Linked DNA regions of Rattus norvegicus. The protein of the gene in region 4 binds, or shares a complex with, the protein of the main gene of each other region. Links are inferred from orthologs where the notes say so. Each region holds a gene or a part of one and is shown on either strand. Other genes may lie near its edges.

Region 1 (4,144 bases), on a different chromosome or scaffold from region 4:
AAGTACTGGGAGTAAAGGTGTGTGGCACTATACCCAGCTGTCGAAATATTTCTTAAAATGACTAATTTTAAAAAGGTGGGCAGTGGTGGCACATGTCTTTAATCCCAGCACTCAGAAGGCAGAGGCAGGCAGATCCAGACCCTAGGCCCACTACGTCTACAGAGTGAAGTTTCAGGACAGCCTGGGCTACACACAGAAAAACCCTGCCTCAAACAAACAATAAAAAGTTTAAAAGTTAAAAAGAAAAGTATGTGGTTTTTTTATAATTTATTTTATGTATGTGAGTACACTGTGGCTGTCCTCAGACACACCAGAAGAGGCATCAGATCCCATTACAGATTGTTGTGAGCCACCATGTGGTTGCTGGGAATTGAACTCAGGACCTCTAGAAGAGCAGTCAGTGCTCTTAACCACTGAGCCATCTCTCCAGCCAAGTATGTGTGTTTTGCCTGCATCTATATGCACTACATATGTGCTGTGCCTGCAGAGACTTGAAAAGATACTGGAACCCTACAACTGGTTGTCCTGAGAACAAACTGTGAGAACAGTGTTCTTAACCAGTGACCATCCTCTCCAGCCCAGAAACCAACTCTCACCACACACAGTGTGTGGTCTCACTCTGTAGCCCAGGCTGACCTGCAACTCTCTCTGTAGGCCAAGCTGGCTTTAAACTCTGCATCCCTCTGCTAGGGATGGATGATTCCAGGTGTGAGCTACCATATCCAACTAGCTCTGCTTTTAAACAGGAGGCGGCACTGCCTGGAGAAGCCTGTACTAACCCTTGCATCACCGGCCTCTTCTTTGGTAAAGTCACACCCATGCTCCTGGCACATCCTACTTCTGGGCATCTCTACACTGACACATTAAGTCTATACTGATGTGTTTGTTAAACCCAATGCTGCTTCATAAAAACAAAAACCAAATGTAAAAAGAAAATGAGTTGGGAGTGGTGACATACAATGGCATCCCAGGCTGAAACAGGAGGGCAGTGTAAGGGCAGCCTCAGCTACGTAGTCATTCTGCGGCCACCCTGTGCTGTAGAAGATTCTGTCTGCGGTACTCTACCCGACTCCATACATAAAGACTCCCTTCCAAATCACTTGCTTGTTATGAACTTGTAAACAAAGAAATAATTCCTGATTTATAATATTTCTTGGATCAACAAGTTCTCCACATTTACGATAACCAGGCAACAGAATTTATAAGCATTTTAATTTTCTTTTAATTACTTTGTTATAACTAGAAGCCCGCACGTCCACTTCCTTCCCTGGCAGTTTTGGCATCACACAGCATCCTTCAAGGTAACAAGGAGTAGGTTTCACTCACCACAAAATTGGATCATTAGCAAGTTCACTGAAGCGTTTACACACACAAGCAGCTCTACAAAGATCTTGTTCCAGCAAATAAGAGAATATTTTTAAAACTACTTCATCTGGTAGCTTCTCCTGAAGATACTGTTCAGCGGGTGCTGCTGAAAGAGATTAACAGAACATAACAAGTCATTTACCAGCAACGACTTCCTCACCAACAAACAGCATATGCCTTTACTGATATATTTCCTTTTTAAAAAAAAAAGATTTTATTTATTTTGTGTACATGAGTACACTGTAGCTGTCTTCAGACACAGCAGAAGAGGGCATCAGATCTCATTACAGATGGTTGTGAGCCACCGTGTGGTTGCTGGGAATTGAACTCAGGACCTCGGGAAGAGCAGTGTTCCTAACCACTGAGCCATCTTCCAGTCCTGTATTTCCCTTTTATCTTACATATATGTACATACAAGCATGTGCACACACGCATGCACAGTGTTAGCTGTTTTTGTTTGTTTTGTGTTTAGGCAGTCTTTCGAAGCTTCCTAGGTCGGTCTTAAATTCACTACTCTTTAACTTCATTTTCCAGCTCCCAGCCCTTTACCTCCCAAGTAGCTAGCTAGTGTTATGGCTACACCATAGCACTATTAAAAAAAACTTTTATATAAAAATAAGACAGGCTGGAGAGATAGCTCAACATTTAAGTTTGTACTGGTCTTGCAGAGGACCCATTTTTTGGTTCTCAGCACCTCTAACCTGAAGCTCACCACATCTGCAAATCCTGCTCCAGGAAATCGAATGCCCTCCTTCTAGCTATTTAGGTAAGTACAACAATCTCCTCACAGAAGCACACACACACATAACTAAAATTAAAGATACATTTTAAAAAACGTTAAAGAGGGAAGGATTAGGGTTCTGATGTATTTTTTAATAGTAACTACTCAATATATTCAAATAATATTTAATTTTCAGTTTCACTTACCGCCACCATCATCATCACCATCATCTCTATAAAGCCCTGTCTATCTGTCCCGATACTCTCTAGACCAGGATGACCTTGAACTCAGAAATCCCCTGCCTCTGCCTCCTGAATACCAGGATTGAAGGCATGTGTTACTATGCTAGGCTCAAACATGAACTTTTGAAACGCGTCTCACTTTACTTCCCTCTCGGAGTACCTGACAGATCTTGTGACTTCCCAGACACTCTTGCCCGCTTCGCTCGATGGCCGAAGTTTTCTGTAGTTGAAGTAGAGGCGCCCTTCAAAACCAAGAAGAAACTGTCAGTCAAGTATTCCCACTGTATATAATTCTCACAAATTTTGACCCATTCTTTCCTTACAAAAACAATTACAATTAAGTCACCTCCATGCTGTTCTTTGTAGGACACGCTGTTCTTTTTGGCAAAAGAGTTTTTCTACGAAGCTGGTATGGACTGTTTTGTGCACCAGGACCTGATTCTTCTGCAACCATATCTGCAGGAACATCATCTGTCAAAGATGAAAGAAAACGGTATCCATCTTTTTACTAAAATCTCAAATTCAGCAAGAGAAGGAACAACATAATTTTGTACGGAATTCCAGCCAACCGGATGACTATCTGACAGACATTCCATATCTTGTAGAGCTTGGAAAAAAGTTTAAGAAAAGAAAGGGGGTGTGGGAAGAGGTGAAGAGGTGTTGACGAGAAGAGCGGGTCAGAGCAGCTCAAGCTGAGCAGGCAGGCTGTCCCACTGCAAGGCCAAGTGGAGGGAGAGGGACGGCTCAGTTCTGTGTACCAGACAGCAGTCAGGGAAAAGTGAACGGGTAGAGGGTGGCCTGCCAGATGGTGCTAGAGATTTAGAGCATGAAAGAGATTCACAGCAGGGAGGGAAAGGGAGTGGCCTCGGGCAGAGCAGAAAGAGCCTCACACAGCTGAGGTGAGAGCAGAGACAGGTACACAACAGAGTAAAATGAGTCAGAAAGTACACAGGGCAATGGAACCTGGATTTCTGTTCAAGAAAACAGCTGTAAATTAAAAAAAAAAAAAAAAAGCACCAGTAAAACCTTTGCTGTTGAGCCTGGATTTAGAGGCATAAAGTGTGAAGTCCCAGCCATAGAAGGAACACAGGTGTGAACATTGAGATGTGCAGAACGGGTGCTCATCAGCAGAAGCTCTCCCCACATTTAACACAAGGCTTCCCAAAATAGTTGAGCATGGCTAGTAGTCGGATCTTGCTTTCTGAATAACATTTTCTATAAAAGGAAAGTTTCATACTTGTTGGAGAAATGGTGGTTCCCAGGGTAGTAGGGCAGGAAAGTACAAAATGAGCCTAGAATATCTTGGGGGCAGAAAAAAAAAAGGTGTGATTAATTGATCAATCGATCAATCGATCGGTAGGTAGGTGGGTAGGTAGGTAGATAGTGGATGATAGGTAGGTAGGTAGAGAGGGATGGATGGATGGAAGTGAGCTTAAAAAGGCAAAACTAAGCTAGTGCATCAAATAACAAGCCACAAACTGGCAAACTGTAACCCACTGGAAGTCAGGCAATTGTTATCTGCCCACAGATTAGGAGAACAATAAATGCCAACCCCGATAGGAGCTCATCGTTCACATCAATAATGACAGACTAAAACTGCACCACCCGACAGACAGCACAACAGAATTTCCACGAAATTCCTGACAAAGATGGAGAGCAATGAATCCATTATGAAGAATAGCAAAGCTGGAGAGCACAGCTGTTCTGTAACAGGACTTGACGAGATGAGCAAGACTACACACAACCTGTGGCTCCCGTGAGAACACTCCCGCCTTCAGCCACCCCAGTACATGAAATCTGGACACCAAGAGTAGAG
Region 2 (3,952 bases), on a different chromosome or scaffold from region 4:
AACTGGCCCGAGTTCAGTCACGGCACTCAGGACGAGCACCTCACACCTGTCTGCACGTAATTCCAGCTACAGGGAATATCCAACATCCATTTCAGACCCCACAGGCACTACACTCGTGTGCCCCCCCCACACACACACACCTATAACAAAATGAAAATAAAGCTTATAAAACTACTAATAAATTTAAAACATACATGAAAAGCCTTTTAAAGTTCAGCATGTTTTTACTGGCTATGACTGCACATTTCTTCAATCTCAGGATTGGTCAGGCAGAGTTTGATGGATCTGAGTTCCAAGCCAGTCAGGGGTACAAAGTGAAACTCGGTATAAAGAAATGGGAGGAGGAGGGTAGGAGACAGAAGAGAGAGGAGGTTGGAAGGAGAGAAGAGCTATTTACTCTGGAAAAATAACACAGAGCAGAAGGCACAGTATACAGCCAACCTTAAGATTTTCTGTGAACTTTTCTTATTTTAAGAAAATTCGGCATCTCCAAGTCCAAACTTCTAAAAACAAGTCAAATAGGTAGCATCTAAAAGACGCCTTGACTTACAAAACGCTGCGCCAGGGGTCTTCGTTTAATTAGCTATCCTCTTCTTTACACTTTTCCCTATGTGGTTCAGAAAAGAAATCTCAGACTTCGGGGTTCTATTTCATAAGTAAATAGTGGTTATGAAAAAGTTATGACTCATTAAAAAAAGCCTTGGAAAAACGGAAATGCAAATGCAAATGCAGTCTTAAGAAATCAGTCGCGATCGAAACGTTAACCACGTTGGTTTATTATTTTTTTTCCGGTGTGCAGACAGCACCTTTGGCCGCGCCCTCTTCGCGGAGGTGGGTCGCTGTCAGCTGATGTTTACGTCCGGTAGGGGTGGGTCGGGTTTTGCAGACACTCCTCTCTCTTCCGCGTCGGCTCCACCGCCCTAAACTTTCCGGGTTTAACCCTGGGAAAGGCCTGGCGCTCCTAGTTAACTCCAACCCGCCCACATTCCGCCCCTAAACAAACTTCTCCAGGGACAGTCCCCGAGACTGGAGCCGCCCGGGCGCGCGCGCGCGCCCAGCCCCCTCGGCCGCGCGCCCGGGCGGGCGGAGACGCGCAGAGGCCAGCGCGCGGCCGCGAGCCCCGGGCGCCATCTTGGATTCTGTAACTGGGCCGAGGCTCGGGGCTCGCTGCTGTTGGCTGCTGTTGGCCGCTGCTCGCCGAGGGCGTCTCGGGCGGCGACGAGGAGGTGCCGGGGCGAAGGACGCAGACTGCGCGGGACAGAGAAAGGAAGCTTTCCGCCCGGGCAGCCGGAGCCGCAAAGGTGGAGCCGCGTCGGCGCCCGCCGCGGGACCAGCGTCTCGGATGCGGGCGGAGCGCGGGGGGCCGCGACGGCGGGAGCGCGGAGACGGGGCCCCGGGAGGCCTCATGTGAGAGCCGCGGGAGCCGCCGCCGCCCGCGCAGCCCGGGGTGGTGTGTGGGGGAAGCCGCCCCCGGCAGCAGGTACGGCGGAGGTTCGGGGCCGCAGCCCGGAGTCCGGCGGGGAGGTCGGCGGCGGCCGGGGGCGCGCGCGGGAACGCCCCGCCTGGACCTCAGTACTTGTCAACAAGGCGTGGCGCGCGCTCGGCGGCCGCGTGTGGCGGGGCTGGGTGACGGGCTCCTCTGGGCTCGCCCTCGGCGGCGCGGGGGCAGGAAGCTGGAAAGCCCGGGGGCCTGGGCAGGGCGGAGGGAAAAGTCTGAGAAAACCGGGTTGGGGAGGCGCCCAGTGGAAAACTTGGCGAACTTAAGTGCAGCCGCTCTGGTCGCACTGCAGACCTCCACCCGGAAGCAGCCAGGTCAGGGCATCTCCGAGCCGCGAGGTGAGAGCGGGCGGCGTCTTGTTGGTATTGGTGCCTATCCCACTTGCCCAGATGTTTTATCTTTTGCTTACACGAAAAGGCTAATTTTAAAATTTTCCCTGAACCCTTTGTAAAGATGTCTGTTACTCTAAAACTCTCACCCGGGTTATCTGTGTGCCGGCTGCCGTTTGTGTCTGTGCTCTCACCATTCTGACAGTTAATCTCTTTCAATATTTTTCGATTCTTATATTACAACCAAAGAATGTATGTTAGGTTTCCTTCCATGTAAAGCAAAACAAAAGGACAAATGCGAACGTAGTGCCAGAATGGGACTTTTAAAGTTTAAGTGCAAATGCGTTTTTTAAAAATCTTTTTATGTCCAGAATTTGTAAATGTCTGAGTAAGGAAAGTTTGACTCTTCATTTTGGTTTGAGGAAATGTTTGATTAGCTCACTAATTCTTGGTACTGCTCACTAGTTACTAGGTGTCCGTCATTACTTTGCCTCCCAGACACTTGATCCGAATACTAGCAAAAGTTCCTGCCACCTTAGTTTCTTTGGGTTCCGGAAACACTGCAGTAAATCACAACCGCTAGGGCCCAGATTTTCTGTGCTTAGAAAATCTTACTGATATTTATTGTCCTGTTTTGATACACCACGCCCCTCCTGTTCAGATAGCAAGAGCACTTTCACTTCTTCTAGAAGCAGTATAAAAACCCATTACTGTAAATCTCTAGTATACTAGTGAATTGTTCAACTTTATACAGCATCGCTTCATGTGTAGATAATTAAAATAAAAGCATCGCAAACTTTGAATTAAAAAGACCAACAAGGAAAAAGCAATATTTAAAACGTTATTAGGTCTTTATTCACTAATGTTACTTTTATACCTAATAGTGCACAGCACATTTTAACATTTAGTCTGTTCATTTTCTATTACTGGTGACATTAGTTTCATACTGCTTATGATAGTCTGTAGACTTTTTAGCTGTTGATAAACTAATAAGTACTAATACATACTTTGATGATCAATGTATTCAGTTTATATTTAGATCAAGTATAACGCTATACTTGATCTTCCTTACTGAAGGTGTTTTTACGTTGTCCGACTTCCTCCTCCCAAAGGAGAGCTGGATTGAAATATACTTGATTTAGGTAGAACTGTGTTGGAAGGCAGAGGCAGTGGATCTCTGATTCCAAGGCTGGCCAGACTCACATAGTGAGCCTGTCTCACATAAAAATTGTATAAACTTAGGGTCAGCAGAGTGCTGTTAAAGTGTGGTGAGTGAGGCTGCCATCCTTGTGTTGGTTTTGAGTCTGTACACTTGACTGTAAACGAAGTGTTTGACCTTTACCTCCTGGCTTTAGAGGATTTCTCCAGATGTGGCAGAGCCTCCTGGCATGAGGTCTGGAAGTAGGAAGATAGTGTCATCTTTTTTGAATCTGTATCTCAGAATTCTGAGCAGTTTTTGTCAATAAGAAAGTTTGAGTTCTAAATAGCAGACTCTTTGTTCTTTGACCCAAATTGAAATGCTAAAATTAAAGTTAAACCTTCAGGAGAAGTTAAAGTTGGAAAGTGGGTCATAATGACAGGCTAACCCCTAGTAGGGCTTTTTTTTTTTTTAATTTTAAAAAATGGCACTGTTAATCATTCTAACTTTATTCTGAACACACTTAAAAGTCTATTCGTAGATTCATAAATAAGTTTGGTTCTTCCATAAAGCCATCTTGTCCCCTCTCATTTTGTTTTCTGAATTCTCCTTTTACTCAAGACTATGCCCTTTTGAGTGTGTGTAGGTGCAGGCACAACAAAGAAGGGGCTGCTCCTCTTTTAAGGCCTCCTGGACTGACAGTGTGGGGTTGTGCCCTCCAAAGTCCTGTTTCTGCTCTCCAGCCCTCGGTGCTAAAGTCTGTACACGTGCAAGTCCTTCATTCCACAGAGGAGCCAGAGTCTTACGTCATGATTTGTCACAAGTTGGTTGGGGTTAAGCCATCCTTTGGAGTCTTGATTGGACCAGCCTTATTAGACTCACTGTCTAAACAATCACCGTAGATCCTGGACTACATAGTAGTACCGAGGAGCGGCCCGGCTTACTCTAGAATGCAGTGTAAATCAAGTAACAAAGCAAAATGTGTCC
Region 3 (3,500 bases), on a different chromosome or scaffold from region 4:
AATATTTTAAGTGCTGGAAATAAAAAGAAGGAAAAAAAAAAAAAAAACCTAAGGCAAGTCATTTAAAAAGGGGGGGTGGAGGGGCTGGGGATTTAGCTCAGTGGTTAGAGCGCTTGCCTAGGAAGCGAAAGGCCCTGGGTTCGGTCCCCAGCTCCGAAAAAAAAAACCAAAAAAAAAAAGGGGGGGGGGTGGAAAAGAAAGAAATGGATAGGAAAGACTTCGTTTCCTGTACTAAAAGTAAGCACTTGGAGGGGAGGTAGCACACACATAAAAGAGCTGCTACAGCATAATGAAAATAAAAAAGAAATGAACACTGGAGACAGGTAAAGACCCTGTCTTCCCTCTGAAATAGGGTATGTCAGAACTGTGAAGAAAGGGGAACTAAAATAATAAGAAACCTAGTGGTCTCTAAGGAAGAATCAATTACCTGGTTTGAACAGACTGGTACTGAACCAAAAAACAATGAATTAAATGAAAAGGGAGTTCTGCCAAAAGACACTGAAAAACTGAAATAAAACCTTGAGAATAGTAATACTGATCTACACAGCAATTATAAAGCAAGCTTAGTAAGCCTAGGTGAGACATACAGATGGCAGTACTGATGTTCTGGGCCTGTAAACAAAGGAAAAGACTTGGGAGGATTCTATTAAGTTACCACCATATATGGCAGGGATTCAGCAGCAACACAGAGTAGGAGTAGTAAATAACAATTATGTAAACATGAAAATAGGCAAATTTTGCTAGTTTTGTTTTATTTTATTTATTATATTTAGATATTTAAAATAAATAACCTGTCAAATGCAGAATCGGAAATGTCAGTCTGGGTAAGATCCAGATGTTCCAGATTAGGACAAAGCTCTAAAATCTGCCTAACCTAAAAAGGAAAGGAAAGCCATTGTGAGGACCTGTGGAGAAACTTCAGTTAGACAAGTAACAGACAATGATAACTATAATACACTGGTTTTTCCTATACATGCATACTGAAAGAAAAAAAATCACTCAAAGAACACATTAAAATAGTTACATTCTGGTGTGGTGTGTGTGGATGCCAGAAGTTAATCCAGTGTGTCTTCCTCCATCTAATTTTCTGAGACACCATCTCTTACTGAACTCTAGGTTCTGCTGGTGTAGTTGCACAATGAGTACCAGGAATCTGCTGCCTCTGCCCCCATTTCCCCTGGCCGCCAGCACCGTGGTTACAGACACATGCCACTGTACACACATCTACATTCTGGGGATGCAAACTCAGGTTCTTATGCTTGCACAAAAGGCACTTTACCAAATGTGCCTTTTACCTCTCCAATTCTTGGGCCCACAATTCTAGTAATTGTCTTAAAGATTCTTAGAAATTAGACCCAGAAAAATCACCCTCTTAAAGGAATACTCAAGGAGATTGCATGTAGGAAGTCATAATTTTATAAAACTAGTTCATCTCACTTGTGCATCTTGCCATGCCTTACATGTTATAATCAACCATATAGAAGTAAACTCAACACATAACATCTACAAATTCACGTAAATGCTTAGCTGACTAGTTTTAGTTCCCTTATGTATGACACAGGCAAGGTTCCTACGCTACAGTACCCTAAGAAATGAAATGATATGAAAACAAACAGTGCATTCCTATCCATGGGAAGACACTCGATTCTCCTTCTTAAATAAGCATTAATAAGCAAACCAAAGTTGTCTGACTGCTATTTTTCTTAATGCTCAAGCTAGGGTTCATTTGTACATACCATTTTGCTGGAGACTGCAGAGCTGTATGCTAACACTAAAGTTTTTACAGAGGTACCAACATATGGCAGAACATTATGAATTAAGCCATGGAGTAAACGTTTTTCCATTTGTGCAATGCTGATAGCAACCGATTCCTCTGCAGACTCTTCTGTAAAATGAATTCAAACATCTAAGAACTATACACCAATTATAAGTAGGCCACCAAAAGGATGCATCAAAATACTAAATATGAAACTCTATACTATCCTCACTTTTGCAAACCATTCACTTTCTGGAAACAAGAAAAAGTTCTGAATAGTCAAAGAACTGTAAAACTTATTCAAGAGAAGGAATTAAATGATCTACAAATTTTTGGCTTTTTTTAAAAGTAACATCAGTTATTCTACCTAATTAAAAAAGACACAGCTAGATGTGAAACAACTCCATTAACCTTATCATTATGAAGACACCTTAGCTCGTAAGAAGTTAAACAGAAGCATGGCCTTTTGCACTTAGTAATTTTTATAGAGCTTGGATATAACAAGATACTTCTCTAACAGCAAACAAAAAACCACAGGATTAGCCTGTCAGAAGACTGTTTTTATAGGATGGGTGAAGACCTGAGTTCAAGCCCCAAAATTAAGGAAAAGAACTTTTCTTACAATTCCAATTTAATAAAAAGAAAACACACTGTATGTAGGCCTAAAATATGTTTCACTTTTCAAGATTCTATCTTTACTATACTTACCTAAACACCTAACTTGAATGTCTTGAACCATAAAGCAGCTTAATATGTTGAAGATTTATTTAAAATAAAATTGCATATAGTGGTTAAAAGAAAACTATGTGAAGAGTAATTACTAAATATTTTACCAACTTTGAATATTTTATAAATACCTCAAATTCTTCTTTTACTTAGACAATATGTGTATCACTAAAAAGCACTTCAGCAAACATTATTTATTACACTACATTTTTATTCATAATTCATTCTTTTCTCCGTGGCCCTCCCTGTCTGAGTATGCTTTATTTACTTAAAACCAACTACAGTTACATTCTACTGCCTGCCACAGAAAAGCATATGACTGAGGCTAACTAAATTAGTCTGTCTTATTAAACGAATTTCCAAACTCCTAAAACTATACCAAAATGGGTCCTCTTCAATTCATAAAGCCCAAAACACTCTCACTAACAAAGCAATAATCATTGTAGTTATTTCCTACACATACAGCTCTTCCATCAGACCAGCTTATCATAGCTTTATGAACAGAAACTTCTTAAGATTTCTCATCTATAAATTTTCACTATTGTAGGATCTTTTTAAAATTACCTAAAGTAACATCAAAGACACAATCTGTCTTCCTCCCCTATACTTTCAAACATCACTGTGAATCTCTATTACAGCAATTCTAATTATGTACCTCAAACAAAGACATTACGTAGTCTAAGTTCTACCGTACCTCTATTTATTTAACAGTAGGGATAAATTTTATCCATTCCCAGACCATCCCTCATATTGTACTTTGGGTGGACCAAAACTGTGCAACACAATTAACTTTCATGTATGAATTATCTTTTATAGTGTGGGAGACTAAACCCAGGGCTTTACACATGTTATACAAATGCTATAAGCTACTCCCACCCAAAGTCTCTCACTTACACACATCACCTGTAGGCTCTATCACAGGCTGGAGGCAAGTACCATGACTTTACATCATCCTGTCTCCCATCTCTCAACTATAGACGACTCAATAAACTGACTAACTGAAATACCCCTCAATCAC
Region 4 (4,300 bases):
CAAGTCCAGTCTGGGTTACATAAGAATCTGTCTCAAACAAATATAAATTTAAAATAGCATGGTAATACTGTATGCCTTTAATTCCAGCACGTGGGAGTCAAGGTACAGGTGCATCTTTGTGAGTTCAAGGCCAGTGTACACAGTGAGTTCCAGAACTGTCAGGGATATACAGAGGAACCAGTCCTGTGAAGTCCAGTTTTTGGAAAGATGAGGATCATAATTTCAAGGACTGACTAGGTTACATAATGAGGTCAAGCCAGCCTTGGTGGAACTCATTAAGAGCCTGCTTAAAATGAAATATAAAAGAGGCTGGGGATACAGCTCCTGAGTGTAATGCCTAACATGTATAAAGCTCTAGTTCAATCTGCAATATTGCCCTCTCCCTCTGCCCAAAAGGTGAGACAGAGTATAAGTATTTCCACAATCCCAGCATTTTGGCAAACAGAAGCATTAGGAGTTCATGGCCATCTTCTTGATACATACAAAATAAATTTAAGGCTAGCCTAGTTTTCTTGCCCCTGTCTCAAAAACTGATCTCAACAACCCCCCCATCCAAAAATGCATCAACTGAGATAAAATATAAGTCATTAGGAAAAATATAATTTCATATATTAAAAAAATTAAGCAACTAGCTCCTAACATGACTTGAGTTTTAGGAAAAACCAAAACCAAACAAAAGCAAACCAGTATTAATACTAAAAGCTCTAAACCAGCAATTTATCATCTTCAGATTTCCCCCTCATTACTCCAAAAGAGTAATTCAAGACCTCTTTAAAATTTCATGGGGTTGGGGATTTAGCTCAGTGGTAGAGCGCTTGCCTAGCAACCGCAAGGCCCTGGGTTCGGTCCCCAGCTCCAAAAAAAAAAAAGAAAAAAAAAATTTCATAAGCAACTTTTTTTAGTAGTTTGTTTTTGAGACAGGGTTCCTCTGTGTTGCCCTAGCTGTCCTGCAACTTGCTCTGTAGCAAGGACTGGTTTTGAACTCAGCCATCAACCTGCCTCTGCCTCCAGTGCTGGGATTAAAGGTGGGCACCTGGGGTTGGGGATTTAGCTCAGCGGTAGAGCGCTTGCCTATCGAGTGCAAGGCCCTGGGTTCGGTCCCCAGCTCCGAAAAAAAGAAAAAAGAAAAAAGAAAAAAAAAAGGTGGGCACCAAAATCCCCAACTCACATGTAACTCTGCAGGTCTTATGCTTCTGAGGAATACCTGGGTGTTATAGGGTTAGCACTTAAAATAACTATTGTACCTATTTAAGGGTCAAACACTTAAGACTCGGCGTATCTCCTAAAATATTCATTCAGCTTTCTGAGACACTTGTCCCCATTCCTCAAGTAAACAATAATTGGGGGGGGGGGGGGGATAAAGCTTGTTTCACAATCATCCATGGTTGAAAAGACTCAAGAGTTCACTTTTCAACTCACAAATATGCTGCAGAACAGAGAAGCCCAGAGCAGCAGACCCTCCTTATAAGGCAACAATAAAAGTTAAAGAGACCAGCTTTTAATAGCAAAACACTATGTTCTCTTTATGGTCCCCAGCACTGTAATGATCACTCAGGAACAAGTCTATGTGGCTAATAAAGTTATTTTAAAAGACAATTCCATATTTCCTTGAAATAATTCACAATAAAGACATGCTTAGTCATAGTCAAATTTAGGTATCAGGTTACTTGCAAGAGAGCCAGGGAGGCAATCAGTTAATCTGTAATTCAATGCACTCTGTAATCCTAGACTTCACTTTTGTTGTGGTGGAATTAAGTGCAAAATTTTTAAGTAATAATGTATGAGATTTCGATTTGATATGCTTTCAAAAAACCCTTCTTTAGTTCTCTAAGCTCCTGGACTTGGAAACTAAACCACCATCCAAGTCTAGCATGAGAATTCTAGTACACTTAAAACAGACTTTAAAAACAAACCTGTTTTAAGTGACTCGAAATTCTGCCACTTGTTACTGGACTGCAGGGCAGAAGGGAGTGCATTGTTCTTTGCCACAACACAGTCTACTGTAACATTCTGATGAAAAACTGAGTCTCCAAACCTGAGGACTCCATGAAAAAGTGAGCCAAGAGGCATGTTTTAACACTATCCCTTAAAAACCCAACACCTTGGGTTTTAGCGTCAAGGGCTCCTAAAAGTCACACACCTCAGACGACAAGGTCTATTACAATAAGTTCAGAGACTGCAGGACGTGACAAAAAAAAAAAAAAAAGCGAAGAAATATCGGGAACCTGTTACCTGCATATTCGGTGGTTAAATAGGTAAGACCAGTAAGGAGCAAATGTCGCCAGATACAGGAGGAAGGGAGAGAGCTAAGTATCGAGTGGCAACGACCGCCACCACCCGGAAGGCCCGGGACCCCTACTCAAAGCCTTGCGGCCAACCCGCCCTGGAGCGCGGAGCAACAAGCCTGTCGCTAAGGCAGGCCCGGGACGAAGCCTAGGCCTTGCAGCCGCGTTCGGGGCCGACTGACGTCGCCCGCAAAAGAGCAGGCCTGCCACAGAGCTGGATACAGCAGCGAGCGAGCGCCGAAAGGATGGGCGGCCCTAGAAGGCCTGACTCGGCCGCCTCGCGCCTCCCGCGGTCCGGGGTCGGCAACGGGCCGCACAGCGCCTCAGGACACGCCAGGCCGACTCGCCGCCTCGTGCACGCCACAGCCAACCCGGGGCTCCCACCCAGCCCCTCCCTCCAGGACCTGGTCCGGCTCGCGGGCTGCTACTCACCGTGCTCGGTCTCAAGACCGCAGGCCTGAGGCTGCCGAACAGAGTTCACAACCGAATAGAAGTCTCGAGAACAAGGCCACTACAGCAGCGCCGCGCGGCGTCAGCTTTTATAGGAGCGGGAAGAGGGCACCGAGGACCCCGAGTTCGTGACGTCACACAGCCGGCCGGGCTGGCCGTTGAGAGTGCCTGACGGCATGCGGAAGGCGGGTGGCAGGTTCTGGGCGCCGCAGAGGTCTCCTGGAGAGGTGCTGAGCGGCGATGGGTGGAAGGGTGGCTGAGCAGGAGGGGGACTTCCACTTTACTCCGCCGTCCTGAACAACGCCGTGCTCTCCTTCCGTGCGGACGCCGGCACCGGCTGGGGAACCATCGCGACCCGAAGGGTCTTTCAGGCAGAGGCTGTCTTAAACTGCTTGAAAGACCCCAGTCCTGAAAAGCCTGGAAAGAACAAACCGCAAAACCGGTTGTGGGTGGGTGTGCTTTAAAGGAGTCACCTCAGCCTGACCACTGTTACTCTCCTAATAACCCAAGGAAATAAGGGTTTTTGGTTTGTTTGGTTTTTTTTTTTTTTTTCCGACCTGGAATTAAGGACTTGAACCTTACTCCACTGATAACTGAGCTTTAAAAAATTACGGATGTTGAGTCAAGGTGTCTCTAAATACTCCTGACTTGGTGCACCTGCTTAGTTTTTATTTTCTTTGCATTTTAAGACGGGGTCTCGTTTGGCACAGAGTGACTGCAAATTCATTGCGTAGACCAGGTTGGTCTAAAACTCGTGAGATTACCGGCTTTTTTTTTTCACCACATATACTCGCCTTATACTCTTTTTGTTTTGTTTTGTTTTGTTTTGAAACAGGGTCTTACTAGATAAACCAGGTTTGGAACTCGCTATTTAGACCAGGCTGGCTTTAAATTCAGATCTGTGTTTCCAATAGCTCAGCGCTGGGAGGCAGGCACCACCTTGTTGGATAATCTTAACCTTTATTTCCTACCTTTGAACTTTGAAGAGGCTTTCACACCCCAAATAGCCATTGTTGGAGTGAAGCGCCAAGCCTGGAGAGAGAAAACAGGGATGTGGAATGGAGGGTATATTCTTCGGGTAATCATGCTCTCTGCCTGTGTGTGAGGCCTGTGAGGCCCGCGCTGGGAATCCATCCAGTAGTGAACCAGGACAGTCAGCCCAACCTGAACAGACTATGCTGTATGGGCAGCTCACAGAAGGCTGTGATAAGGTCGCTAGAATGAAACAACTTTGAAGTAAAGGGAGAGGTCTGAAAGGACCCATCTGGCCTCAGCCCAGCCAGGAACTGGGCACTTGCCTGCCCTGCCCCGCTGTGTCTAGGGAGCATCACTATCCCCACCAAGGCGCCAGGCTCACCTAGCCAATGAGCACATGATGGTATTCCTGGCACCACAAAGACAAAAGACGTTTCCACACAGGGCCTCCTAAAGAAACCAGAGCCTACAGTTTCTCCAGGACAAGTCTGGGCAGAGAGGCCAAGCAATGGCTTGAATGACCAGGTCTTTGTCTGATGGCTGTGGTATCCAATGTCTGCCAGGTGCCACAGCTGATGACAGAAGATGAA
Region 5 (4,256 bases), on a different chromosome or scaffold from region 4:
GAGTTAGACAGAACAATTTGCAAATTCATTTGGAATAACAAAAGACCCAGGATAGCAAAAACTATCCTCAACAATAAAAGGACTTCAGGGGGAATCACCATCCCTGACCTCAAGCAGTATTACAGAGCAATGGTGATAAAAAGTATATGGTATTGGTACAGAGACAGACAGATAGACCAGTGGAATAGAATTGAAGACCCAGAAATGAACCCACACACCTATGGGCACTTGATTTTTGACAAAGGAACCAAAACCATCCAATGGAAAAAAGATAGCATTTTCAGCAAATGATGCTGGTTCAACTGGAGGTCCTCATGTAGAAGAACACAAATTGATCCACTCTTATTGCCCTGTACAAAGCTCAAGTCCAAGTGAACCAGGAACCTCCACATAAAATAAGATGCACGCAAACTAAGAGAAGAAAAAGTGGGGAAGAGTCTCGAACACATGGGCACTGGAAAAAATTTCCTGAACAAAACACCAATGGCTTATGCTCTAAGATCAAGAATCAACAAATGCGACCTCATAAAACTGCAAAGCTTCTGTAAGGCAAAGGACACTGTCATTAGGACAAAATGGCAACCAACAGATTGGGAAAGATCTTTACCAATCCTACATCTGATAGAGGGCTAATATTCAATATATACAAAGAACTCAAGTAGTGAGACTCTAGCGAACCACATAACCCTATCAAAAATGGGGTTCAGAGCTAAACAAAGAATTCTCAACTGAGGAATACCAAATGGCTGAGAAGCACCTAAAGAAATGTTCAACATCCTTAGTCATCAGGGAAATGCAAATCAAAACAACCCTGAGATTACATCTCACACCAGTCAGAATGGCTAAGATCAAAAACTCAGGTGACAATAGATGCTGGCGAGGATGTGGAGAAAGAGGAACACTCTTCCATTGTTGGTGAGATTTCAAGCTATTACAACCATTTTGGAAATCAGTCTGGAGGTTCCTCAGAAAACTGTCATAGTACTACCTGAGGACCCAGCTATACCACTCCTGGGTATACACCCAAAAGATTTTTCAACATATAACAAGGACACATGCTTCATTATGTTCATAGCGGCCTTATTTATAACAGCCTGAAGCTGGAAAGAACCCAGATGCCCTTCAACAGAGGAATGGATACAGAAAATGTGGTACATCTACACAATGGAATACTACTCAGCTATCAAAAACAATGACTTCATGAAATTCATAGGCAAATAGATTGGACTAGAAAATATCATCCTGAATGAGGTAAGTCAATCAGTAAAAACATACATGGTATGCAGTCATTGATAAGTGGATATTAGCCCAAACCTTGGGTTACCTAAGATACAATCCACAGATCACATTAAGCTCAAGAAGGACGACCAAAGTGCAGATGCTTCAGTCCTTCTTAGAAGAAGGAACACAAATATTAATAGGAGGAAATATATAGACAAAGTTTGGAGCAGAGACTGAAGGAAAGGCCATCCAGAGACTGCCCCACCTGGGCATCCAGACCATATATACATACAGCTACCAACCCTAGACAATATTGCTGATGCCAAGAAGTGCATGCTGACAGGAACCTGAAATAGCTGTCTCCTGAGAGGCTCTGCCAGAGCATGACAAATACAGAGGCAGATGCTCACAGCCAACCATTGAACTGAGAGTGGGGTCCCCTTTGGAGGAGTTAGAGAAAGGATGGAAGGAGCTGAAGGGGCTTGCAACCCCATAGGAAGAACAATATCAACCAACCAGAGCTCCCAGGGACTAAACCACCACCCAAAGAGTACACATGGACAGACCCATTGCTCTAGCTGCATAAGTAGCAGAGGATGGCCTTTTGGGGCACCAATGGGAGGGGAAGCCCTTGGTCCTGCCAAGAATTGACATCACAGTGTAGGAAATGTCTGGGCAGGCGGGTGGTAAGGGGTGGGCGGGGGAACACCATCATAGAAGAAGGGGGAGGGGAGGTGGAATAGGGGGTTTATGGAAGAGAAAACAGGAAAGAGATAACATTTGAAATAAAAATAAAAAAAAATCCAATAAAAAAACTTCAAGATGTGCATTCATTATCCTGAGTACATCATCTAAGAGTATATTTCCCAGTTATTAGGCTTGTGTGTGTGTGTGTGTGTGTCAGACACACACACACACACACACACACACACACACACACACACAAATTGATGTCTTTATTTACCCTGATATGTTCCATTGTAAGCTACACTTGAGCACAAATGCATCAATGTAGGCATGCCCATACGTTCCTCTATCTAAATGTCTATGTACAGAATATGTATGTATGCTCATCTATTGACATTTGTGGGGAGCACTCCCTGGGCTCTTCTCTAAGCTCCTCCAAGCCTAGTACTTCTCTCAACTTCCTTTAGGGTGCTGAGTATCTTAAACCCACTGAAATTTCTAAGTGGCTAGCACTCTCCTCAATCGAGGGTCTTCAAGGGGCTGGGGTTTCCCCGAGTTCCCCCCTCCCCTCTCCCTCCCGGACTAGGTCACCGCCCTGCTTCTCCTGCTCATGGCACTAGGAAAGTCAATTTCAGAGACCAGCTTTCACAGGGAAGCACGGGCAGCCTGGCAGGGTTGGGACTAGAGAACTCCGCTGAAGAGAAGCAGCAGGTGGGCTAGGAAATTCCGTGTGTAGGGCGCTAGTGGGAAGCGGCTCCTTGAATCTGTGGCATTGGGGTGGGGTGGGGGGAGCCCATCTAGTCTGGCCAGGGGTCCCATCCTCACTCACCTTACCAGGGTCCTCAGACTTGGCTAGGCTGTTTTCAGCTTCACTTTTGCAAGCCCGCAGTCTAATTTCACTTTCAGTTTCCTCTCAGAGGTAAGCTTAGAAGGAAGAGGGAGGAGCAAGGGGAGGAACAGGGAGTTGACTGGCAAGCCTTGGAGGCAGATAGGGCGGAGACTGGGCAGAGAGTGGGAGGAGAGTGGTCAGAGGTGCCAGAAACTGACTTCAGGCCACAGGCAAAGGAAAACTCAGTTAATGTCTTCTTGGGTGCAGTCTCTCTAAGGCCTCCTTGTCACCTTTAACAGACTGTAATCTACAGGATATCGACCTTTGACACTGGTCTTTACTTCAAACCTGGGAGCATCTGGGAGAAGAGGTCTGGATGGGAGAGGAGTTACTATCTTTTCTAGAGGGATCTTCCCACAAGACTGATAGTTCTTTAAAATCCGGGTGAAAGATCCTGGCACTGTTTTTGTTAACATATATTAATTGCACAGTATGCTTGACATATGCCCATTTCCCATCCCTCTGTCTTCTCGTTTTGCTCCCCTCTTTTCAAATAGTCTAGGGTGAGAAATTTATTCCTAATGATGTTAGGGTATGTGTTGTAGCAATGAAGGGAGACTTGTGGACATTGATTGTATTATAATTTGCGCTAAAACCATCAGGTGAATTTTCCTTGCCATTTATCATATTTAGGAAATAAAAGCATTCCGTGCTTTGAAATTTCCAGCCCTGTTTAAGAGATCCTTCTCAGTAAAAGGTCACCAGGCGACATCTACTGTCTAGATTGTGCTGTTGTATTGGGACTTGATTCCAGGAACACAACAGCTCCAGGAAGCAGAATGAAAAACAGAGTCAAGCATCTGAAAGGACAAAGGCATCTGCAAACATCAGAAAATGATTCTGCTTCACACCACTGAAGATCTGTCGCTATTTCCTGCAGGCAAAGAACTTGGGTCCCAAAATAAGGTAGTGGTAGAGTCAATGTCTATTTTTCTATTTACCACTAGATGACGCCTTATCTGTTTCAGTTTACACACTGGATAGAGAGATTAATACACACCCTAGGGTTGTGGTGATAAATACTCTATAATGTGCACACAGGATGACCAATGTAATATACTCATAGCTGCCTCAGCTCCCACCTTGGTAATTATCTGAAGACCCAAACTCCTGAAGAACAAAATCTCCTTCACTCTCAGCTAGTACTTTGATATCTCAACCCTCCTTCCCCTGGGCGAAATGACTCAAGTATTTATTTGGGAAGAGTTAATGTCATTGATAGGACTGTCTAGTACATTATCAGTGTTTTGGTGAAGTGAGATATTTATGCTTTGGGTTTTAGTCAGGCTTTACTAACTTGAATGTGTTTCAGTAACCCAAGTTGTCTCAGTGGTACCCAAGTCCACTCTGTCCAGGACAGGAAAAGCATTCTTTACTCATTTCTAACTTAGTGACCTAAGAAGCCCCAAAGATACAGAAGTAGAAGGAGGACAGCTGGGAACAGGAAAGGACCAATGGG
Region 6 (3,500 bases), about 23 Mb from region 4:
AAGAAAGACAGTTGTGCTGGGTATCACAGTAGCTACCCCAAAGGATGGGATGGCTGGGATGGGGGTAGGAAGGGGCTCGCCAGCTCCCTAAGTCTCGCTCTAGTCACTGAGTGGCACAAAATATACTGATTATAAAGAGAACTGTAAAGAAAAGGTTATTCCTCACGAATAAGGTGCTGGGCTCAAAATCCAGGCCCTCCTCTATTCAAAATAGTTGTATTTCAGTTTCAGAAACTAGAGGTATGAGTCTCATCATTTCGAAACAATGTTTAGAACAATTTAACCCGCTCCTGGGCTTTAAAGACTTTGGTGGGGGCTGGAGAGATGGCTCAGCGGTTAAGAGCACCGACTGCTCTTCCAGAGGTCCTGAGTTCAATTCCCAGCAACCACATGGTGGCTCACAACCATCTGTAAAGAGATCTGATGCCCTCTTCTGGTTATAGTGTACTTATATATAATAAATAAATAAAATCTTAAAAAAAAAAAAAAAAAAAAAAAGACTTTGGTGGCTTACACCAATACCCCCAGAACAACAGGAGGCTAGAGTAGAATAGCCAGAAACTCAGGGCCAGCCTGGGCTACAGCAGGACTGGGAAGATGGTTAAGTATTTGCTGAGTGAGCATGACCACTGGATCCAGAACCCACGAATACGCCAGGTGTGTGCGGTGACCAGATGGTAAGTCCAGCTGCCGAGGCTGGGGTGGGATTCCCAGAGCAATGCAGCTAGCTGGTGCTAACTGTGAGGTAAGCCCAGGTTTGTCGGAGAGACTCTGCCTTATGGAATATGGTAGAGCAATGGAAGATTGTGACATCAAGTTTGGTTCACACGTGCATGTACACACATACGCACCCTATATAAATACGCATGGAAATGGGGGAGAGTAAAAAAAAAAAAATTATCATTGGATGTGGGGCAGAATTAGTGTCTTCATTGAAGTCCTAAGCAGCGCACATGCTCACAGAGTAAGTTGGTAAAGGAATGGCGTGTTGCCGGAGACAGGAGACATAGGTTTTGCTCCGCCACATCAAACGCAAGCTCTTGAAGGCCTCACCTCATGGTGTCACTGAGCCCCTTCTGCACAGAGAATATCTGCTGCTTGTTGACGGCCTGGGAGGCTTGGAAGAGCTGGCAGACTGACTCACTGCAGGCCTTCCCTTCTAGTCCAAGCTGGCTTCCTCCTGCGCAGGCTTTGGCCAAAGCCAGCTGTGGGGAGAGACAAGTGCAGTGTAAGTCCTGGCACGGCACACCTCCGCCCGCCTGAGCCTCATAGCAGCATGGCTCAGATTGCTAGGACTTACTTTTAAACTGAACAAATAAATAAAAACATCTTTATCATCTTTATGTATATGAGTGTTTTGAGACATACGCGTATGTCTGCCCCACGGGCATGTCTGGTGCCCAAGGAGGGCAGAGTAAAGTGTCGGGTTCCTAGAACTGGAGTTACAGGTGATTTTGAGTAACCATGTGGCTGCTGGGAAATGGCGGCAGGTCCTCTCGGAGAGCAGCCAGAGCTCTTAACCACGGAGCATCTCTCCAGCTCCAAGTTTTCTGTTACTAAATGGTGCTTCGATGGTCCTGTTGAGGGTGGACTGAAACATGTCAGCACTCAGGAGACGCTGCCCAGCACCCACGGAGACTTCCGTTAGTCACTGTCAACAACTTTTAGGCTCCATCTGTGTCTTCCTAGGTAACTGTAGCTTGGTGTGTATGTGTATTTATGACCCAGCATCTTTCTTTCCCCACACGGCAACATTACTAGTGTCTCCATTTGGAGTGTTTCTGTCTTTTGAGCATCCTGTGACCGTTCAGTCCCTCCCTGCTGAGTCCACAGAACAGCTGTGGACTTTTGTCTGCACCGATCCAAGGACTCTCTCTGAGGCTCGCGCTCACACGTCACTCGAGACAAACAGGAACTATCGTCACTAAAAATGTCTTGGGTTAGAGAGATGGCTCACTAGGCCGGGATTCAATTCCTACATGGTAGTTCACTGTCTGTAACTCCAGTTCCAAGAGATTTGACACCCTCTTCTGGCCTCTCAGATACCAACGAGGCACAAGGAATGTATATGCAGGCAAACACCCACATACATTAAAAAACAAATAAAACAGATGCTACTCATTACGGACTAAAAAACAGAAAAAAAAAATCAAATAGAACACATTAATCACACAAGTCCCCAATAGCTCATTTAAAACTGTAGCTCCAGATTCATAAACCTCCTGCCTCAGCGTCTTGAAGACAAGGATTAAGCCCCTGTATTTGGCAAATGTTATCTTTTTTTAACTTGCTGCATTTATTTCCTCTTTTCTGAGAATCTGTTATGAATCGCAATGCAAATGTTTCTGGAGATAGAGGTCGGCCATAGATCCACAGGCTGAAAAACCAATTCTTTAGGCATTGTCTTAATCAGTGATTGATGGGGGAGAGCCCAGCCCATTGTGGTCCTAGGATCTACAAGAAAACAGGCTGAGCAAGCCATGAGGAGCAAGCCAGTAAGCAGCACCCCTCCATGGCCTCTGCATCGGCTCCTGCCTCTCCAGGTTCCTGACCTGTTTGAGTTTCTGACTTCCTTCAATGATGAACTAAGGCATGGAAGGGTAGTCAAATAAACCCTTTCCTCCCCAACCTGATTTGGTCATGGTGTTGGTGTTTCCTCACAGCAACAGTTACTCTAAGACTCTCTCTCTCTCTCTCTCTCTCTCTCTCTCTCTCTCTCTCTCTCTCTGTGTGTGTGTGTGTGTGTGTGTGTGTGTGTGTGTGTGTGTGAGTGACGTGTGTGATGTGCATGTGGCAGTCAGAGGACAACTTTGGGGACTCAGCCATATGTCTCTTGCGGATCAAACTCTGGTCATCGGGCTTGGTGGCAAATGTTGAGCCATTTTTTGTAAACCTCCGACATTCTTCTTCGACATGAACACAATGTTCTGTGACGAAGACCAGCCTGCACCATCTGTTGACTTTCAGTTTCTTTCCTAGTGTTTGAGTTATTACTGGCTCCAGGGGTCAGAGATGGCTTAGAAGTTTAGGAAAGCTTACTGATCTCACAGATGACCCAGGTTCAATTCCCGGCAGCCACATCAGGTGGCTCACAACTCCAGTTCCAGGAGATCCAAGGCCCTTTTCTGGTCTCCACCGGCATTGCATGCACATGATACACATACAGACAATCACACACATGTAAATAAGTAAGAAATTAAAATGAAAAGACTCAGCTCCAGGCCTGGACCTGAGCTTCTCTACGTTTCCTGTGCAGAGCCTAGGCAGTCCTGCCCCACAGTTCAGAGGAAAGAGTCCAGAGCTCAAAGTCACCTGTGCTTCCCAGCAGCCCTTGGCGGCGTAGTCCCTGAGTTTCCGGAAGCTGTGGAGGCATCGTCCGGGGTCAGACATCTGTCAACAAGAGAAAGTTATCCTTACACGGACGGCTGTGTTCTGAGAGGCACTCAGAACTGCCCCATGGGTTTCTAATTATCTATTCCCACACTCCTGAGCTGCACTGG
Region 7 (3,500 bases), on a different chromosome or scaffold from region 4:
TCTCAAGAAAAGAAAAATAGGGGTTGAGGATTTAGCTCAGTGATAGAGCGCTTGCCTAGAAAGCACAAGGCCCTGGGTTCGGTCCCCAGCTCCAAGAAAAAGAAAGAAAGAAAGAAAGAAAGAAAGAAAGAAAGAAAGAAAGAAAGAGGAAGGAAAGGAAGGAAAAGAAAGAAAGAAAGAAAGAAAGAAAGAAAGAAAGAAAGAGAAAGAAAGAAAAAGAAAGAAAAAGAAAGAAAGAAAGAAAGAAAGAAAGAAAGAAAGAAAGAAAGAAAGAAAGAAAGAAAGAGAAAGAAAGAAAAAGAAAGAAAGAAAGAAGGGAGGGAGGGAGGGAGGGAGGGAGGGAGGGAGGGAGGGAGGGAGGGAGGAAAAAATAGAAAAAAAATCTAAACAAAGGGTGGTGTGGAGTGAACCACTGGCTCTCTATAACCTGTTCACTTATCTATTTCAGGAATGTGCAAACGGTTTGTATTTAATAAACAGCAATATCAACTACCATTAGCCTTGACCTTTAATATTAGAATTTAGAATCTGTTTATCTAGTATCTAATATAATCTATACTGTTTACTGTATGTTCCCTTAAGAACAAAACTTAATGGGATTGGGGTAGTCTTTGTTCTCAAGAGGAAACACGCCTTTCTTACAAAGAACAGAGACTGTTCCCTACAACTAAGAGTTAACCCAAACAGGTCTGCCAATCACCTACACAGAAAGCACCTCAAAAACCTGTCAGGAGTTCAGAAATGCTAAAAACTAGTATAAAGTCTCCCTTAACACACTGGCCACTGTTCCCACTCACCACTTAAGGGTGCCCGCCCACTTCTCTAATCAAAACATGCTATCTTCTCTACATTTGCAAAAAGGGAAGCTCAGTGACCAAGGGGAGCAGATTGTCCTTAGTTCGACAGTGTCCGCTATGTTCTGTAGACAACACGCTTTTCCTCGGTGATGTAGAAATACTGGGGAATGACACATTAAGTCTGGCTGCCGTCAAGGCTCATGGAGACGTCTGTCTACATGGATATAGACACGCTGAGGAAGCACTGAGAAAGTGGAAGGTGTTTTCTTCCTTTCAAGTCTTCTGAACAGCCTATCCCTGACTCACATTCACCAGACAGCCCAGGCCGGCCTGAAATCTGCAACAACCTTCCTGCCCCGGGTTGAGACTTGTGTGCCACCACACCTGACTCTAAGCCAGGGTTTTCATCTCAGTCCCTGCTCCTTTCAAAGGACTGAAACCAAACTGCAGCCCAGGACACTGTACATTTTGTTTTTATAGTGATCAAAGATGTAAGGGTCTCCAAAAGGAATCAGTACAAATTTCTCCTATTACTAGAGCTGGGCATGTGAAGTCTTCTTAATACAATACAGGAAACTTTAAAACCATCTTTTGAGTAGTTGAGGCAATGTCTTCTGCCTTGAATTCATGATCTTCCTGCCCTGCCCTCCAGGTGCTAGAGGATTTTCTAAATTGCTGCTATGGAGATGAAAAGAACGGGGGTGAGACACTAAGAGTTAGTCCAGACCAAGATCCTCTACCTTGAGAGTTCAGTGAGAGAAAACCACACCCGATGACATTTCCTTCCTAGGTCACGCCAACCCGTAAGTAAAGTCATGTGCCCGGCATGAAAATTAGACATAGACATGCTCTCTGAGGTCATGCCAACCAGTAAGTAAAGTCATGTGCCGGGCATGAAAATTAGAGATGGACATGCTCTCTGTCATCGTTTTTTTTTTTAACAACCTAAAACAAAACTGATAAAGCAAATTGAAATTTAAGCCAATTGTATGAGACACTACAATCTGAGTCAAAGCACACTAAAAGCAATACTGTTAAATTTATAGGTATTTATGGGCAAAATCCAATGATTCATTGTTAAATTTAAAAGTCAGCAAATGAGGAGTAAAGGGGTGTGTGCTACAGACCATTTCTATGTGTGTAAAACAAGTCACCTATTACTTAAACACAATCCCTACAACAGGTTAACACAAGGCTATTCTACTTGGCACCCACAAGCCACATCTAACTTCTGAAAACACAGCAGACTTAGTTGCTGTGACTTCCACTGATTTACACTTTAGGTTAACTCTTGTGAAAACACAGCCAGTGATACATTAGCTATTTTGCAAATAAAATTCATTACTTTATTTACACACGTCATGTTTCACACCAACCCTGCACACTCACCCAAACCACTCTGGCAGCAAACCGGAAGCTGGTGATTTGGTTTTTTGTGGTAAACAACATCAATCTCCTCCTCCATCACCACCACCACAACCTCCATCACCACCACCACCACCACCACCACCACCACCTCCACCACCACCACCACCTCCATCACCACCTCCATCACCACCACCACCACCACCACCACCACCACCCCGTTTTGCAATTAAGTTGCCTTCTTATCAGTATCTCTATTTATAACACTGGAGCCTTCACATCATTAATGAAGTGCTCTACATGTGAGGACTAGTGGCCGCACTACAGACTGTAAGGATGAGGTCACTATGACTGAAATAGTGAGGGAGCATATCCGGTGGAGGGGAATGAAGATACTCACCTTTGTTGTCTTGGTATAGAATGGGGAGGAGAGCTGGTTGATGGGCAGGTCCACGACACTAGTGCAGTTTGTGACATTGCTATTGTGAGTATGTTCATCTTCCCTGCTACTGTCATCAGACTGGTCAAAATCATCACTCTCCTGGTCCATCTCCTCCTCCTCCTCCTCTTCCTCCTCTTCTTCCTCCTCCTCCTCCTGTTCCCCAGCATGTTCTTCATCTTCCTCCTGCTCTTCCTGGTTTCCCGAAGAGTCCTCATCTACTGAAACAAAGCGGTTATTATTTTCTTCCACTTGTCCTTGCTGGGAATCGTTCTGGGCTCCAGGCCTAGGGTCTGCACCCACAAGTTCACCATTCCGCGCAGTGTGCTCCTCCTCCTGATGTCTCGGCTGCTGCTGTGGGTCCTCCTCAACCACGCGATTCATCTGCTCCTCATCAACCTGGCTTGAGGAAGCATTCCCTCTCAGAGAGCCTCCAGTTCGTCGTCTTTTGCTGCCCACAGAGAGCAGTTCCTGATTCATTTCCAAAAGCCAGCTTGCTACTTCTTGGACCTTGGCTAGACTATCAGAAGATGCAAAGATTTTCACATTCTGTAGGAGGAAAAGGGGGATAAACAAGATTTGTACCATCTTTGTTGTTGTCCACTTTTGTGTCATATGCCTATAGTCTAAGTATAATTAAGATCGTGGAAAGCATTCACACACTCGTTAGTAACAAATAAGTTTTAGATTAAATAAGTTATAAAACAAAAAAAGAATCATACTGAAGACCTTTAACTACCTTTTTCCGTAAACCTCTAAAAGCTTGATGGTTTAGTTGTTTTGATCAATAAGACATAACTTAGCCAATAAAACAATTTTAAATTTTAAATCATTAATTCAGAAACCACATCCTGAATAAATCATTCACTGAATACTAAACATATGCAAGCAAACAAACA

The links.
Region 1: Skp1 (region 4) and Fbxo11 share a complex: the UniProt entries of both Homo sapiens proteins name them as parts of the SCF(FBXO11) complex. The link is inferred for Rattus norvegicus from reciprocal best matches to the Homo sapiens genes SKP1 and FBXO11.
Region 2: the proteins of Skp1 (region 4) and Fbxl3 are in contact, whole or in part, in a crystal structure (PDB 4I6J), measured with the Homo sapiens proteins. The link is inferred for Rattus norvegicus from reciprocal best matches to the Homo sapiens genes SKP1 and FBXL3. Residues at the interface, in NP_733779.1 of Homo sapiens: Gln97, Leu100, Phe101, Ile104, Leu105, Asn108, Leu116, Asp117, Cys120, Lys121, Val123, Ala124, Ile127, Lys128, Gly129, Lys130, Pro132, Ile135, Arg136, Phe139, Ile141, Lys142, Asn143, Asp144, Phe145, Thr146, Glu149, Glu150, Val153, Arg154; in NP_036290.1 of Homo sapiens: Asp35, Trp36, Gly37, Leu39, Leu40, Ile43, Gln46, Val47, Tyr50, Leu51, Leu53, Leu54, Asp55, Ala57, His58, Ala59, Ser60, Gln61, Val62, Cys63, Arg64, Trp66, Asn67, Phe70, Glu82, Lys92, Ala93, Thr94, His95, Glu97.
Region 3: the proteins of Skp1 (region 4) and Fbxl5 are in contact, whole or in part, in a cryo-EM structure (PDB 6VCD), measured with the Homo sapiens proteins. The link is inferred for Rattus norvegicus from reciprocal best matches to the Homo sapiens genes SKP1 and FBXL5. Residues at the interface, in NP_733779.1 of Homo sapiens: Phe101, Ile104, Leu105, Asn108, Leu116, Asp117, Cys120, Lys121, Val123, Ala124, Ile127, Lys128, Gly129, Lys130, Pro132, Ile135, Arg136, Phe139, Ile141, Asp144, Phe145, Glu149, Val153, Arg154, Glu156, Asn157, Gln158, Trp159, Cys160; in NP_036293.1 of Homo sapiens: Ile205, His207, Leu208, Pro209, Val212, Ser215, Ile216, Tyr219, Leu220, Gln223, Glu224, Cys226, Arg227, Cys228, Ser229, Gln230, Val231, Ser232, Met233, Trp235, Ser236, Lys240, Trp245, Arg315, Leu316, Gly319, Leu320, Asn323, Val324, Tyr327.
Region 5: Skp1 (region 4) and Trim21 share a complex: the UniProt entries of both Homo sapiens proteins name them as parts of the SCF(SKP2)-like complex. The link is inferred for Rattus norvegicus from reciprocal best matches to the Homo sapiens genes SKP1 and TRIM21.
Region 6: the proteins of Skp1 (region 4) and Ccnf are in contact, whole or in part, in a cryo-EM structure (PDB 9CB3), measured with the Homo sapiens proteins. The link is inferred for Rattus norvegicus from reciprocal best matches to the Homo sapiens genes SKP1 and CCNF. Residues at the interface, in NP_733779.1 of Homo sapiens: Arg81, Asp83, Gly98, Phe101, Ile104, Leu105, Asn108, Leu116, Asp117, Cys120, Lys121, Val123, Ala124, Ile127, Lys128, Pro132, Arg136, Phe139, Ile141, Asp144, Phe145, Val153, Asn157, Trp159, Cys160; in NP_001752.2 of Homo sapiens: Leu30, Thr31, Ile32, Leu35, Val39, His42, Ile43, Trp46, Leu47, Glu50, Asp51, Leu53, Ala54, Val55, Ala57, Val58, His59, Ser60, Gly86, Asn87, Ser300, Val301.
Region 7: the proteins of Skp1 (region 4) and Fbxw7 are in contact, whole or in part, in a crystal structure (PDB 2OVP), measured with the Homo sapiens proteins. The link is inferred for Rattus norvegicus from reciprocal best matches to the Homo sapiens genes SKP1 and FBXW7. Residues at the interface, in NP_733779.1 of Homo sapiens: Gln97, Leu100, Phe101, Ile104, Leu105, Asn108, Leu116, Asp117, Cys120, Lys121, Val123, Ala124, Ile127, Lys128, Gly129, Lys130, Thr131, Pro132, Ile135, Arg136, Phe139, Asn140, Ile141, Lys142, Asn143, Asp144, Phe145, Thr146, Glu149, Gln152; in NP_001336727.1 of Homo sapiens: Pro274, Phe276, Gln277, Arg278, Asp279, Phe280, Ile281, Leu283, Leu284, Pro285, Leu288, Tyr291, Val292, Leu293, Phe295, Leu296, Pro298, Lys299, Asp300, Leu302, Gln303, Ala304, Ala305, Gln306, Thr307, Cys308, Arg309, Tyr310, Trp311, Arg312.

What each region holds. Positions count from the first base shown.
Region 1 is NC_086024.1:12,290,598-12,294,741, reverse strand, and holds the start of Fbxo11 (F-box only protein 11), read right to left. Parts: upstream 2,801-4,144; 5' UTR 2,800-2,800; coding exon of another isoform or gene 2,783-2,799; coding exon 2,675-2,782; intron 2,571-2,674; coding exon 2,489-2,570; intron 1,472-2,488; coding exon 1,327-1,471; intron 1-1,326. UniProt on the Homo sapiens protein: Substrate recognition component of a SCF (SKP1-CUL1-F-box protein) E3 ubiquitin-protein ligase complex which mediates the ubiquitination and subsequent proteasomal degradation of target proteins, such as DTL/CDT2, BCL6, SNAI1 and PRDM1/BLIMP1.
Region 2 is NC_086033.1:86,338,588-86,342,539, reverse strand, and holds the start of Fbxl3 (F-box/LRR-repeat protein 3), read left to right. Parts: upstream 1-1,152; 5' UTR 1,153-1,301; intron 1,302-1,346; exon of another isoform or gene 1,347-1,480; intron 1,481-1,739; exon of another isoform or gene 1,740-1,836; intron 1,837-3,952. UniProt on the Homo sapiens protein: Substrate-recognition component of the SCF(FBXL3) E3 ubiquitin ligase complex involved in circadian rhythm function. Plays a key role in the maintenance of both the speed and the robustness of the circadian clock oscillation.
Region 3 is NC_086032.1:71,542,099-71,545,598, reverse strand, and holds part of Fbxl5 (F-box/LRR-repeat protein 5), read right to left. Parts: intron 1,886-3,500; coding exon 1,737-1,885; intron 875-1,736; coding exon 792-874; intron 1-791.
Region 4 is NC_086028.1:36,901,408-36,905,707, reverse strand, and holds the start of Skp1 (S-phase kinase-associated protein 1), read right to left. Parts: upstream 2,801-4,300; 5' UTR 2,718-2,800; intron 2,680-2,717; exon of another isoform or gene 2,239-2,679; coding exon of another isoform or gene 2,233-2,238; intron 1-2,232. UniProt on the Homo sapiens protein: Essential component of the SCF (SKP1-CUL1-F-box protein) ubiquitin ligase complex, which mediates the ubiquitination of proteins involved in cell cycle progression, signal transduction and transcription.
Region 5 is NC_086019.1:166,396,572-166,400,827, forward strand, and holds the start of Trim21 (E3 ubiquitin-protein ligase TRIM21), read right to left. Parts: upstream 2,801-4,256; 5' UTR 2,738-2,800; intron 1-2,737. UniProt on the Homo sapiens protein: E3 ubiquitin-protein ligase whose activity is dependent on E2 enzymes, UBE2D1, UBE2D2, UBE2E1 and UBE2E2.
Region 6 is NC_086028.1:13,770,170-13,773,669, forward strand, and holds part of Ccnf (cyclin-F), read right to left. Parts: intron 3,391-3,500; coding exon 3,313-3,390; intron 3,237-3,312; exon of another isoform or gene 3,181-3,236; coding exon of another isoform or gene 3,040-3,180; intron 1,206-3,039; coding exon 1,054-1,205; intron 1-1,053. UniProt on the Homo sapiens protein: Substrate recognition component of a SCF (SKP1-CUL1-F-box protein) E3 ubiquitin-protein ligase complex which mediates the ubiquitination and subsequent proteasomal degradation of target proteins.
Region 7 is NC_086020.1:172,534,738-172,538,237, reverse strand, and holds part of Fbxw7 (F-box/WD repeat-containing protein 7), read right to left. Parts: intron 3,151-3,500; 5' UTR 3,082-3,150; coding exon 2,563-3,081; intron 1-2,562. UniProt on the Homo sapiens protein: Substrate recognition component of a SCF (SKP1-CUL1-F-box protein) E3 ubiquitin-protein ligase complex which mediates the ubiquitination and subsequent proteasomal degradation of target proteins.